2 linked regions of the Arabidopsis thaliana genome follow. The protein of the gene in region 1 interacts with the protein of each later gene in a pairwise test. Each region holds a gene or a part of one and is shown on either strand. Other genes may lie near its edges. The genes, in order: ISU1 and SCL3.

Region 1 (4,750 bases):
ACATCTACATATTGTTCTAAATTGGTGAATAAGTGTCTATACCGACGGACAAGTGTGTTTTCTCAACACATCTATTAAACTTTGTTAGGAACAAGTATTTATCAGTTTCTCCCTTAATTCAATTCTTATTTGTATAAATCATAAGACGGATAATTTAACATTTGCAAGAATTAATGTACTCGTATAAAATTCTTTTTGTTGATTTTTTCCCCTCCGATTTAGATTTCAATTAGACAAAAATAAAAAAAATAAAAAAATATGATGAATAGGTCAGGTCATAATCGGAAAACAATCCAACTTTATTTAAGACTTGACAATTCAAAACAAACAGATCTGTAGAAGGCAAACACTCAAATATAGATTTTGAGCTGAAATCATTAACATGCAAATCGCAAAACACAGACACAAAGTGACGTCGTTTTGTATCATTTGCAAATCACATGCTTTCCTTTTCAGCACCACGCTGTACATCACGGCAGCAAACACATAACCCCATACCAGTAATACCACCAACAGGTATGCATCGGCCTCCAATAAACTTGCTGTCCAATTGCTTGCATGGTTCAATACAAGTAGAGCTCTTCTCATAACTATTACATTCACCTTTATCGTAGTCACACACTTGCCTCCCATCTACTTCTGTCCAATCAATAGGAAGATACTACATTTTATAAACATGTTTTATTTTAGATCTTGGGATCAAAGACTTTGGTTTTTTTTACGTACCTGTAGGAGATATGAGGAGAATGGAGAGACAAACGACTACTGCAATAGCGACTGTGCTCAACCTTAAGCTCCCCATTAATTGCTTATTAGTTCTTAGCTTCTTTCTTTCTATTTTGTTTCCCTCTCTCTCTTTGTGATTGATTCATTTAGGCAAAAGGCGAGTTTTTAATTTATAGCTAGCACTGGACAAGTCGTTGGGATTAAAATGACGTAAGATATATGATTTTAAGACAAATCATTTTAAATAGTTAACTGAATACACCCCCGACTCTTATTGTAGATGATCAATACTATTGTATTGTGTAGATAAAGATAGATATTTAGAATCTTTCGTTTGATTTCTTCATTAAATTAGTCAACTTTTAGATACTAATCAACAATGCCAAAGAAAGTGGTAGATGCTAAATCAACGGAGACCAAGCGCTCATCATCATCATTGATTCATTTTTCCTTCAATCATATTTGTTTGTTTGTTTTTGCTTTTTATTAGTATATCTGAAACCTTTGTCCAAAAAAAAATATTATATCTGAAACCAATTGCATGCATAATGAAACTTAAATTTTTGTTTGTTTCTCGGTACCACATGTTTCACGGTATAGATGCATAATGAACTCGTGTCTTAAAATAACTTTATATTTACGAATCTATATGTACTACTTTAAAAAATACATATTAATATATTTTAAAATCCATATTTCTCAATCCTCAACTTAATTTGCTATCTAACTCGCTTCACGAGAAGCTTTCCAAATCTCAGATCTATTACTTGATCTTGCTTCCAATCCGTTCCGGTGGTGCCGTCTAAAAATAACAGACAAATATATTTGTTAATGTTGCAAAACGACTTTTCAAATGATCAAGATCAACCATTAACCAAATATATGTTTACCATAGGACAATGCACAGTCGTAGATGGCTCCTCACAACTTATCTAGACGAAGACATTCGCCTATAATGTTGTTATAGCCTATAACTTATAGGTTTAATTGTTATGATTAACTATACGTTAATGAATTAAGGTTAATTTTAAATAGACTGTTTCATCACTTGAAATTTGAGAACTTTCTATACACATACTAAATCATCATGACTATTGTTTGCGTAAAAGAAGTATGTTCCGATTCAATTGTAAACTTGAAAAGTACGATTTATGAGCGATAGGTCTTATAAACTATAACATTTGAAGGATATCAAAAATATAATTGAAAAGAAAAAGTCAACTTATCAAAATCTCAATCTAAAGTTTAGGTTAGCGTCTCAAGTTAGCTAATACTAAAAGAAAAAATCAAAGGAAAAAAAGAAAAGAAAAAAGAAATAGCAAATATCTCAGAACCATCTAAACCGTCCACGTGTCCCCTCGCTTATCTCTCTGTCTGAAACCAAACCGACTTCTTCTCACAACCCTTAAAGGAAAAGTCCGATCTCATTTCTCATTACCAAAATCAGCGGAGCAAAAGTTACTTCCGAAACCCTAAAAAAAACACGATGATGCTCAAGCAAGCTGCGAAGAAGGCCCTAGGGCTTACGTCACGTCAATCAACACCGTGGTCTGTTGGTATCCTCCGAACCTACCATGAGAACGTCATCGACCACTACGATAATCCCCGCAACGTTGGGTCTTTCGATAAGAATGATCCCAACGTTGGTACGGGACTCGTAGGAGCTCCCGCTTGTGGTGATGTGATGAAGCTTCAAATCAAGGTCGATGAGAAGACTGGTCAAATCGTTGATGCTCGCTTTAAGACTTTTGGTTGTGGTTCAGCCATCGCTTCTTCATCTGTTGGTATGTTTATATTCTAATTTCGTGTTTTGTTCGATTGAGGATTGAATTAGAGAAATTAAATGATTTCAATTAGGGATTTTGATTAGTCTTTCTCAAATGGAGAAATTAGGTTTTAAATTGATGGGTTCGTGTAGAGATTCGGTGTTCAAATTTGGGATTGGTGTCGTTAATGACAAATTAGTGCATGATTTGGTCAGTTGAGACGTTTTTATTGGTGATTCAATGCTGAATTTGTAATACTCCTAGTCTCCTAATGTTATTGAGAAAGATTTCATCTTTTTGATGCGATGTCGTCAGTTTCTGGCTTAGCTTCTATGTGGGAGCTATCTTCTCTCTGGGGATTTGTTGCTGTTATCTAATGTATGATTCATTTTTACGTTTTTTTCAGCCACTGAATGGGTGAAAGGCAAAGCTATGGAGGATGTTCTGACCATCAAAAACACGTAAGTACCGTCTGTTTCTATTCATTTTATGCAGATATTAACATAATCTGTTGTGAGTTGTTGTGTTATGCCAATCAGTGTTGTCTAATTGGTTAAACTCATTAAATGTTGATATACCAGTTACTGTGTTTCATGACTGTTATTTTGTTTTGAGGAACTTGGTCACTGGACTTTGTCTGTTGGTACAATATTGGTTGCTGGTTAGTATGCCCTGTGTTCCTATTCATGTTTTGCAGATTTTTAACATAAATATGAACACTCGTGTTATCTAATTGCTGCACTCATTGAATGTTGACATACCTGAGACGAAGTAATGTGATTATTTTGTTTAGATGAACTTAGTTACTGGATTTTGGTCAATTGGTCTGAGATTGGTTACTGGTTTGGTTTGTATGGTATTTAAGGTTTTCCAGCCTATAATGATGCAGACCTCTTGACTTCTTTTTCTTAGACAAAGTAAACATTGTGATTTCTGTCATGGAGTTTCTCAATATCTGAAGACTTACTCTGAATGTGTGCTTCTCTTTCTGTGATTTATTTTGCCAGCGAAATCGCAAAGCATCTTTCTCTCCCACCAGTCAAGCTCCACTGCAGTATGTTGGCGGAGGACGCTATCAAGGCAGCTGTGAAAGACTACAAGGAGAAGCGTGTGAAGACAAATGGTGCTGCAGCAGCAGGAGAAACCACACAGGCTTGATTCCTTTTACTAGTGTGTATACCATAATGTGTATATGATGGTGAAAACAGGGGAGAAGTAGAAGAGGATGATACATACAACCTATGGTATGTTGTAATGTTCAAGACTTAAGGAGTATTTTAGAATAAACTCTGTTCACAGAAACGTGTAAGAATGATTTTGCTTCGGCCCTGTAGTTTTTGCTGTTTTATGCACCGATGTGATGTAATGTTTTCTCTCTTCTTTGGGAGGTTTATAAATTACAACTTTGACAGACAAATTTTCAATTTTCAATTTTGACATTATAATTTTCTCTGCATGGAACTATGTGGGTGTAGCTTGACTTATCATCTCTCTGTTCCTGAATTGTCACAAAACATCCAACCTTTATTCGAAACGTTATCTCTGTTATTGGATTAAGCAGAGTACAACAAACAAAAGCAAAGCAGAGTAGAACAAAGCGATGTCGATTATATGGTTTCGGAATCACATGTTTTCTTATTGAGCACCGATACTATCATAATAGCAGCAGAAACAAGCCGTCCACACGCTCGGCCTATCCCTTGGACGGCACTTGCCATCAAAAAAAGTCTGTCCAGCCCTCGTTTTGAACTTGATGCAACTCTCCTTGCAATCACGGAAAGGAGTACAAGCACCTAATGGGAAGTCACAGCTTCCATCCACTTCTGTCGACACGAACAGCCACATACATTTATAACAAAAACTTGTGTATCTATGTAGTTAGAGATCTTGATTTTACGTACCGGTGGGAGATAGGAGGACCGATAGACAAACGACTATTGTAGCAACAACAACTGTTCTCAACCTCAAGCTCCTCATTGCTGATCTCTCTTTGTGATTTTATCAGCAAAAGGCTTTCAATTTATACGTCTCAACCAAACACATTTTCTCTTCACTACTTCTACATTATTAATATCTAATTAAGAGTCTCCACGATGTGATCCACCTCGCCTATAATTATATTTTCTAGACACAAATCAAACATTATCCATCTCGTCTACAATACTTTTTAAGTTTTAACGTGAAATATGCTCGCTATATGTCCATAACTACAGTACATATAATAAGATTATGTAACAAGACGTACCGGCATGTCACAC
Region 2 (5,383 bases), on another chromosome or scaffold:
TTCGGGTTTTGTTTTGGTAAAAAGGTATGGGAAATATTGGAAGCTGTATTGTGAGAAAGTCAAATACAGGATCATTCCGGGAATTTATTGATTGTAACGAAGTCTGTTGTTCTCATTTTCTACTTATTACGTTAATTCGAACGTTGGAATCATCAAAAGACCGTGCCAAAACAAAAATGCAAATTGATGCGATAGACATTCTTTTGCTGATTTGTATGCTATAGGTTTTCAAATCTCTAGCTACACTTATGTATTTCCCTAGATTATCAAAGTTAGCCTGCCGTTTTCTAATTTTATTATTTGATATTTTGATTATACTGCTTCTTAATGCATCAAATAAGTTGATTCATCCATCTAATATTTTAACTACATCAAATGAAGTCTTTTATAAGTACAGGCACTAATTGAACTTGAACCCTATAAAATACATGAATAATCACAAAGAATTGATAGTGTTCTTTCAGTTTTTCAATCACAAAGAACTCACCGACATTATCAAGTTGACTTCACTTTTAGACTTAATTGGTGTTCTGGAGGATCCACAAAACTACTATTACACAGTTTTCACAAAATTGTGATTCTTTATTTTTTATTTTCTTTGGTCAAACTAACATTTCATTCAACTTTAAACGAGAGTTGCCTCCACGTGGAGAGTATACACAAAAAGCTACGAGGACAAATGCTCAAACAAAAAGACATAAGAAGGGGAGCTCAGAAGCTCAACCCGAGTAGCAGCATCCAAAGTTGCTAAAACAGAACCATCATTTACTTCTGAGGCGGTCTTCGTACCAAGCTCCTTCAGCAAAATTGTGATTCTATGTTTGGATATCATGAGATCTAACTACAAAGTTTTTAATAACAAAAACTTACCATTCTCTAATTTGTAGTCAAAGCTAAACAAATTTCATACTAAAACAATTTTACTGTGTTGTTATGGATGCATATTTTTCTCACTTTATAGTACTATTTTACTATTGATAAGATGAAAAAAAAGTTGAGGTACAATAGTAGTAAAATAGCATCATTCTTTTTCTGTAGAATCTCTCTGGTCAATGGTCTTTTTAGTTTAAAAACTGAATAATGTTCTCTCTCACACAGTAAAAAACAAAGAGAGAGAGAAAGAAGAGAAGAAGACAAAAATGTAGGCATTAAAAAGAAGAAAAAGACAAAGAGAAAAGTAATGAAAAGACAATGAACATTTAAAGAAGACAGACAAATCCCACACCCAAGCCTCAGCCTCATCTCTTTTATTGTTATTTGTTTTTCTAACAAAACAACAAAAACAAAAGAGATGGTTTTTGGGTTTTGTTTTGTCTTTGTTAGGGCGTGTTTGGACGTTTCCTTCTTCTCAGAATCAATATTTTACCAAAACAGCTTTCTTTTTTTCTCTTTAACAATTTTTTTGATGTAGAAATATATAGTCATGATTCCAAATCCACCTCATGCCATGACAAAAACCCATAAAAGTGGAGGTTCCAATCTCGAATACAGACATATATGTTGTATTCGTGTATGTATCTATTATAAGATAATTCCAATTTGTATAATGCCAAATGGGTTCATTGAACTTCTTCTTCCTTCATAATTAAGTGTTGCTTTTTCTTCTTAGTTCCTCTAAATCAAGAAAATTCTAGGTGAAACTTCTCTTATCTTGACTTTATATAAAATAATAACTATAAAAATAATCAATAAGACTAATTCCTACAAGTCTTACAAATTTAAAAGAAAATGAAAATGCAACATTAGCTAATACACATAATAGTATAAGATTGATGGATGTATTCTTATTCAGTTTTATTTATAAATGCAACATAAGCTAATACACTCTCATTCAGTTTTATTTATTAATGTTACACCACTTTAAGAGCACTCAAAATCAAAATACGTATTCTTATATGATATTCATTCATGTAGTACTAGTACACATAATAGTATAAGATAGATGGATGGGATTGGAAAATTTGACAACCTTTTGTTTAATAATTCCTTAAAACCAAGGAAAGAAGAAAGAGGAAACGAAAAAAACAAAAAGGAAGAAGACAAAACCGACTATCACGCATTGTCTGGTACGTAGAGCCAAAAGGAACAATGCCTCTGTTTTAGTGTTTTCTTTCTTAAAGTTTTTTCCCAAAACACAAACAACATTTCACACACACGCTATTACTCACAAGATAACCACCAGAGACGTGGATAGAGAGATAAAGATTGAGAGAACCCTCTCACTCCCAAAAAAAAAGCTTTAGACATTTTCTCTAAATCCATGTAAGTTTTTTTCTTTGGTTATTGTTGTTTGTTATCTTCTTTGATCATTTGCTATTATTTTGTTTTGTTTCTTTCTTAGTTTATCAAATTAGGAAAGTTTTAATTCAGCTCTCTGTTTGTGTTTCTTCGTCTATATCTATTTCAAATAGTTTAACTAGATTCAAAGGTTTTTAAAATTCAGTACTTTCTCTGCAAACCCTAGTTCCTCTGTTCTTTAACCCCCTTTTTTGTTAAACTGCAGATTCTCTGCATCTTTCAAGAAATTCCGAATCGTGGGTTTGGTTCTTCTCGTTACGAGTCTCTCAAAGTTTAAATCTTTCTTTACAAAAAAGGTTACTTTTGGTTCTGAGTAAATCAAAATCAAGCTTTTGGCCTTCAATGGTGGCTATGTTTCAAGAAGATAATGGAACATCTTCTGTAGCTTCATCACCACTTCAAGTCTTCTCAACTATGTCACTCAACAGACCGACTCTCCTCGCTTCTTCATCTCCGTTTCATTGTCTCAAAGATCTCAAACCAGAGGAGCGTGGTCTCTACTTAATCCACCTCTTGCTAACTTGTGCCAACCACGTGGCTTCAGGTAGCCTCCAAAACGCTAACGCAGCGCTCGAGCAGCTCTCTCACCTCGCTTCTCCTGACGGCGACACGATGCAGCGAATCGCTGCTTACTTCACCGAAGCGCTTGCTAACAGAATCCTTAAGTCCTGGCCTGGTCTTTACAAGGCTCTTAACGCAACTCAGACAAGAACTAACAATGTCTCTGAGGAGATTCATGTTAGAAGACTCTTCTTTGAGATGTTCCCGATACTCAAAGTCTCTTACTTGCTCACTAATCGAGCTATACTCGAGGCTATGGAAGGAGAGAAGATGGTTCATGTGATTGATCTCGATGCTTCTGAGCCAGCTCAATGGCTTGCTTTGCTTCAAGCTTTTAACTCTAGGCCTGAAGGTCCACCTCATTTGAGAATCACTGGTGTTCATCACCAGAAGGAAGTGCTTGAACAAATGGCTCATAGACTCATTGAGGAAGCAGAGAAACTCGATATCCCGTTTCAGTTTAATCCCGTTGTGAGTAGGTTAGACTGTTTAAATGTAGAACAGTTGCGGGTTAAAACAGGAGAGGCCTTAGCCGTTAGCTCGGTTCTTCAATTGCATACCTTCTTGGCCTCTGATGATGATCTCATGAGAAAGAACTGCGCTTTACGGTTTCAGAACAACCCTAGTGGAGTTGACTTGCAGAGAGTTCTAATGATGAGCCATGGCTCTGCAGCTGAGGCACGTGAGAATGATATGAGTAACAACAATGGGTATAGCCCTAGCGGTGACTCGGCCTCATCTTTGCCTTTACCAAGTTCAGGAAGGACTGATAGCTTCCTCAATGCTATTTGGGGTTTGTCTCCAAAGGTCATGGTGGTCACTGAGCAAGACTCAGACCACAACGGCTCCACACTAATGGAGAGGCTATTAGAATCACTTTACACCTACGCAGCATTGTTTGATTGCTTGGAAACAAAAGTTCCAAGAACGTCTCAAGATAGGATCAAAGTGGAGAAGATGCTCTTCGGGGAGGAGATCAAGAACATCATATCCTGCGAGGGATTTGAGAGAAGAGAAAGACACGAGAAGCTTGAGAAATGGAGCCAGAGGATCGATTTGGCTGGTTTTGGGAATGTTCCTCTTAGCTATTATGCGATGTTGCAGGCTAGGAGATTGCTTCAAGGGTGCGGTTTTGATGGGTATAGAATCAAGGAAGAGAGCGGGTGCGCAGTAATTTGCTGGCAAGATCGACCTCTATACTCGGTATCAGCTTGGAGATGCAGGAAGTGAATGATATATTACAGTTTGTCTTCTATTTTGGTTATGAGCAGAGTCCCTTTCTTTTTTGTATACATGGGGACACAATCTTAGTTGTTTTGTGATGGTGACTTTCTGTCTCTTTATGCTATTTTGGCTTAAATGCTTCTACTGCCTCTGCATGTAAAGCCTTTGTGTGTTGGTTCAATTTGGTCTGGTGTGGGTGTAATACCAAACCAAATCCAATTTGAGCTGAAGATAACTAATTTGATGATCGGTTCAAGTTCAGAACTCCAAATTCTTTCAGAGACCAGCCAAACTTTGCCTATCTTTAAGCAGGTGATCTTGTCATTTGTGTATTGTAAATAACTTAAACTCGGTATATATATTTAGGTTACTAAAGGACATGTTCACTATCCAAAGAGTATACGACTTATCTGCTGTCCAAATACTTTGTAACCTAAAGTTCACGTGCTTCATTTACATTGAATCTAGTTTAACCTAATCTTCTTGCTTCATTTATATTTGAATTTTGTTTAAGCAATCTAGTCTTTATCTTGTCTTAGCAAATTCACAGAGTGTTTCTCATGCAAAAGTGTTGCATGATCAAAACACCTTGATAATAAGATTGAAAGAGTAATGTGATCCCAAAAGGAAAGAAGATCTCGGATGAACTGATTCAGAAAAAGTATATACTCTGATGTTATATATACTATGAGACAACAGCTAAGTTATTTACATATTTCCTCATTTCAAATCTGTGAACCTGAAGAACACAAGAATGCAGCTCATGATCAAAATTCTGAAAGAAGCGAAACTTCGCCAACCCAAGATTTAAGAACAGCTACACCATGAATAGATATTTGAGATCATCAACTGTTAATCGAGTTGCAGAGCTTCCACCATGATCTTCACCAAAGGCAGACGCAACCATTTTTCTTTTCTCTTCCTATAATAATAACCAAAAATCACACAACCACAAATGAGAGAAACTGAGGGGGGAAACAAGTATCAGCTATAAGGGATCTTTACCTGGAGAGCCAAAATTCTATCCTCCACAGTATTTTTTATCGTAATACGAGTTACAGTAACAGGTCGAGTTTGTCCAATACGATGTGCTCGATCAATAGCCTGATCTTCAGTAGTTGGATTCCACCATAGATCAAGAAGAATGACATGACATGCAGCAATCATATTCAGCCCAAGATTTCCAGCTTTTAAAGACATTATCATCACTTTTACCTGTTTAAGACAAAAAAACAAAAAAAGGAGGGAACACATACACCACCACTAAGAAAATTGTTTAGGAAAAAATGATTTCAGATAT

The links.
Region 2: the proteins of ISU1 (region 1) and SCL3 interact in binary tests that used the Arabidopsis thaliana proteins (3 or more experiments, as listed by UniProt).

Annotation. Positions count from the first base shown.
Region 1 is NC_003075.7:11,758,344-11,763,093, reverse strand, and holds ISU1 (SufE/NifU family protein), read left to right. Parts: upstream 1-2,036; 5' UTR 2,037-2,212; coding exon 2,213-2,510; intron 2,511-2,898; coding exon 2,899-2,953; intron 2,954-3,499; coding exon 3,500-3,650; 3' UTR 3,651-3,991; downstream 3,992-4,750. Other genes in the region: AT4G22230 (defensin-like protein), read right to left, coding at 437-639, 727-802; AT4G22217 (defensin-like protein), read right to left, coding at 4,128-4,315, 4,394-4,469. UniProt on the Arabidopsis thaliana protein: Scaffold protein for the de novo synthesis of iron-sulfur (Fe-S) clusters within mitochondria, which is required for maturation of both mitochondrial and cytoplasmic [2Fe-2S] and [4Fe-4S] proteins.
Region 2 is NC_003070.9:18,676,883-18,682,265, reverse strand, and holds SCL3 (scarecrow-like 3), read left to right. Parts: upstream 1-1,965; 5' UTR 1,966-2,262; intron 2,263-2,503; 5' UTR 2,504-2,640; coding exon 2,641-4,089; 3' UTR 4,090-4,572; downstream 4,573-5,383. Other genes in the region: DWF5 (Ergosterol biosynthesis ERG4/ERG24 family), read left to right, coding at 25-91; AT1G50410 (SNF2 domain-containing protein / helicase domain-containing protein / zinc finger protein-like protein), read right to left, coding at 4,901-5,005, 5,089-5,298. UniProt on the Arabidopsis thaliana protein: Probable transcription factor involved in plant development.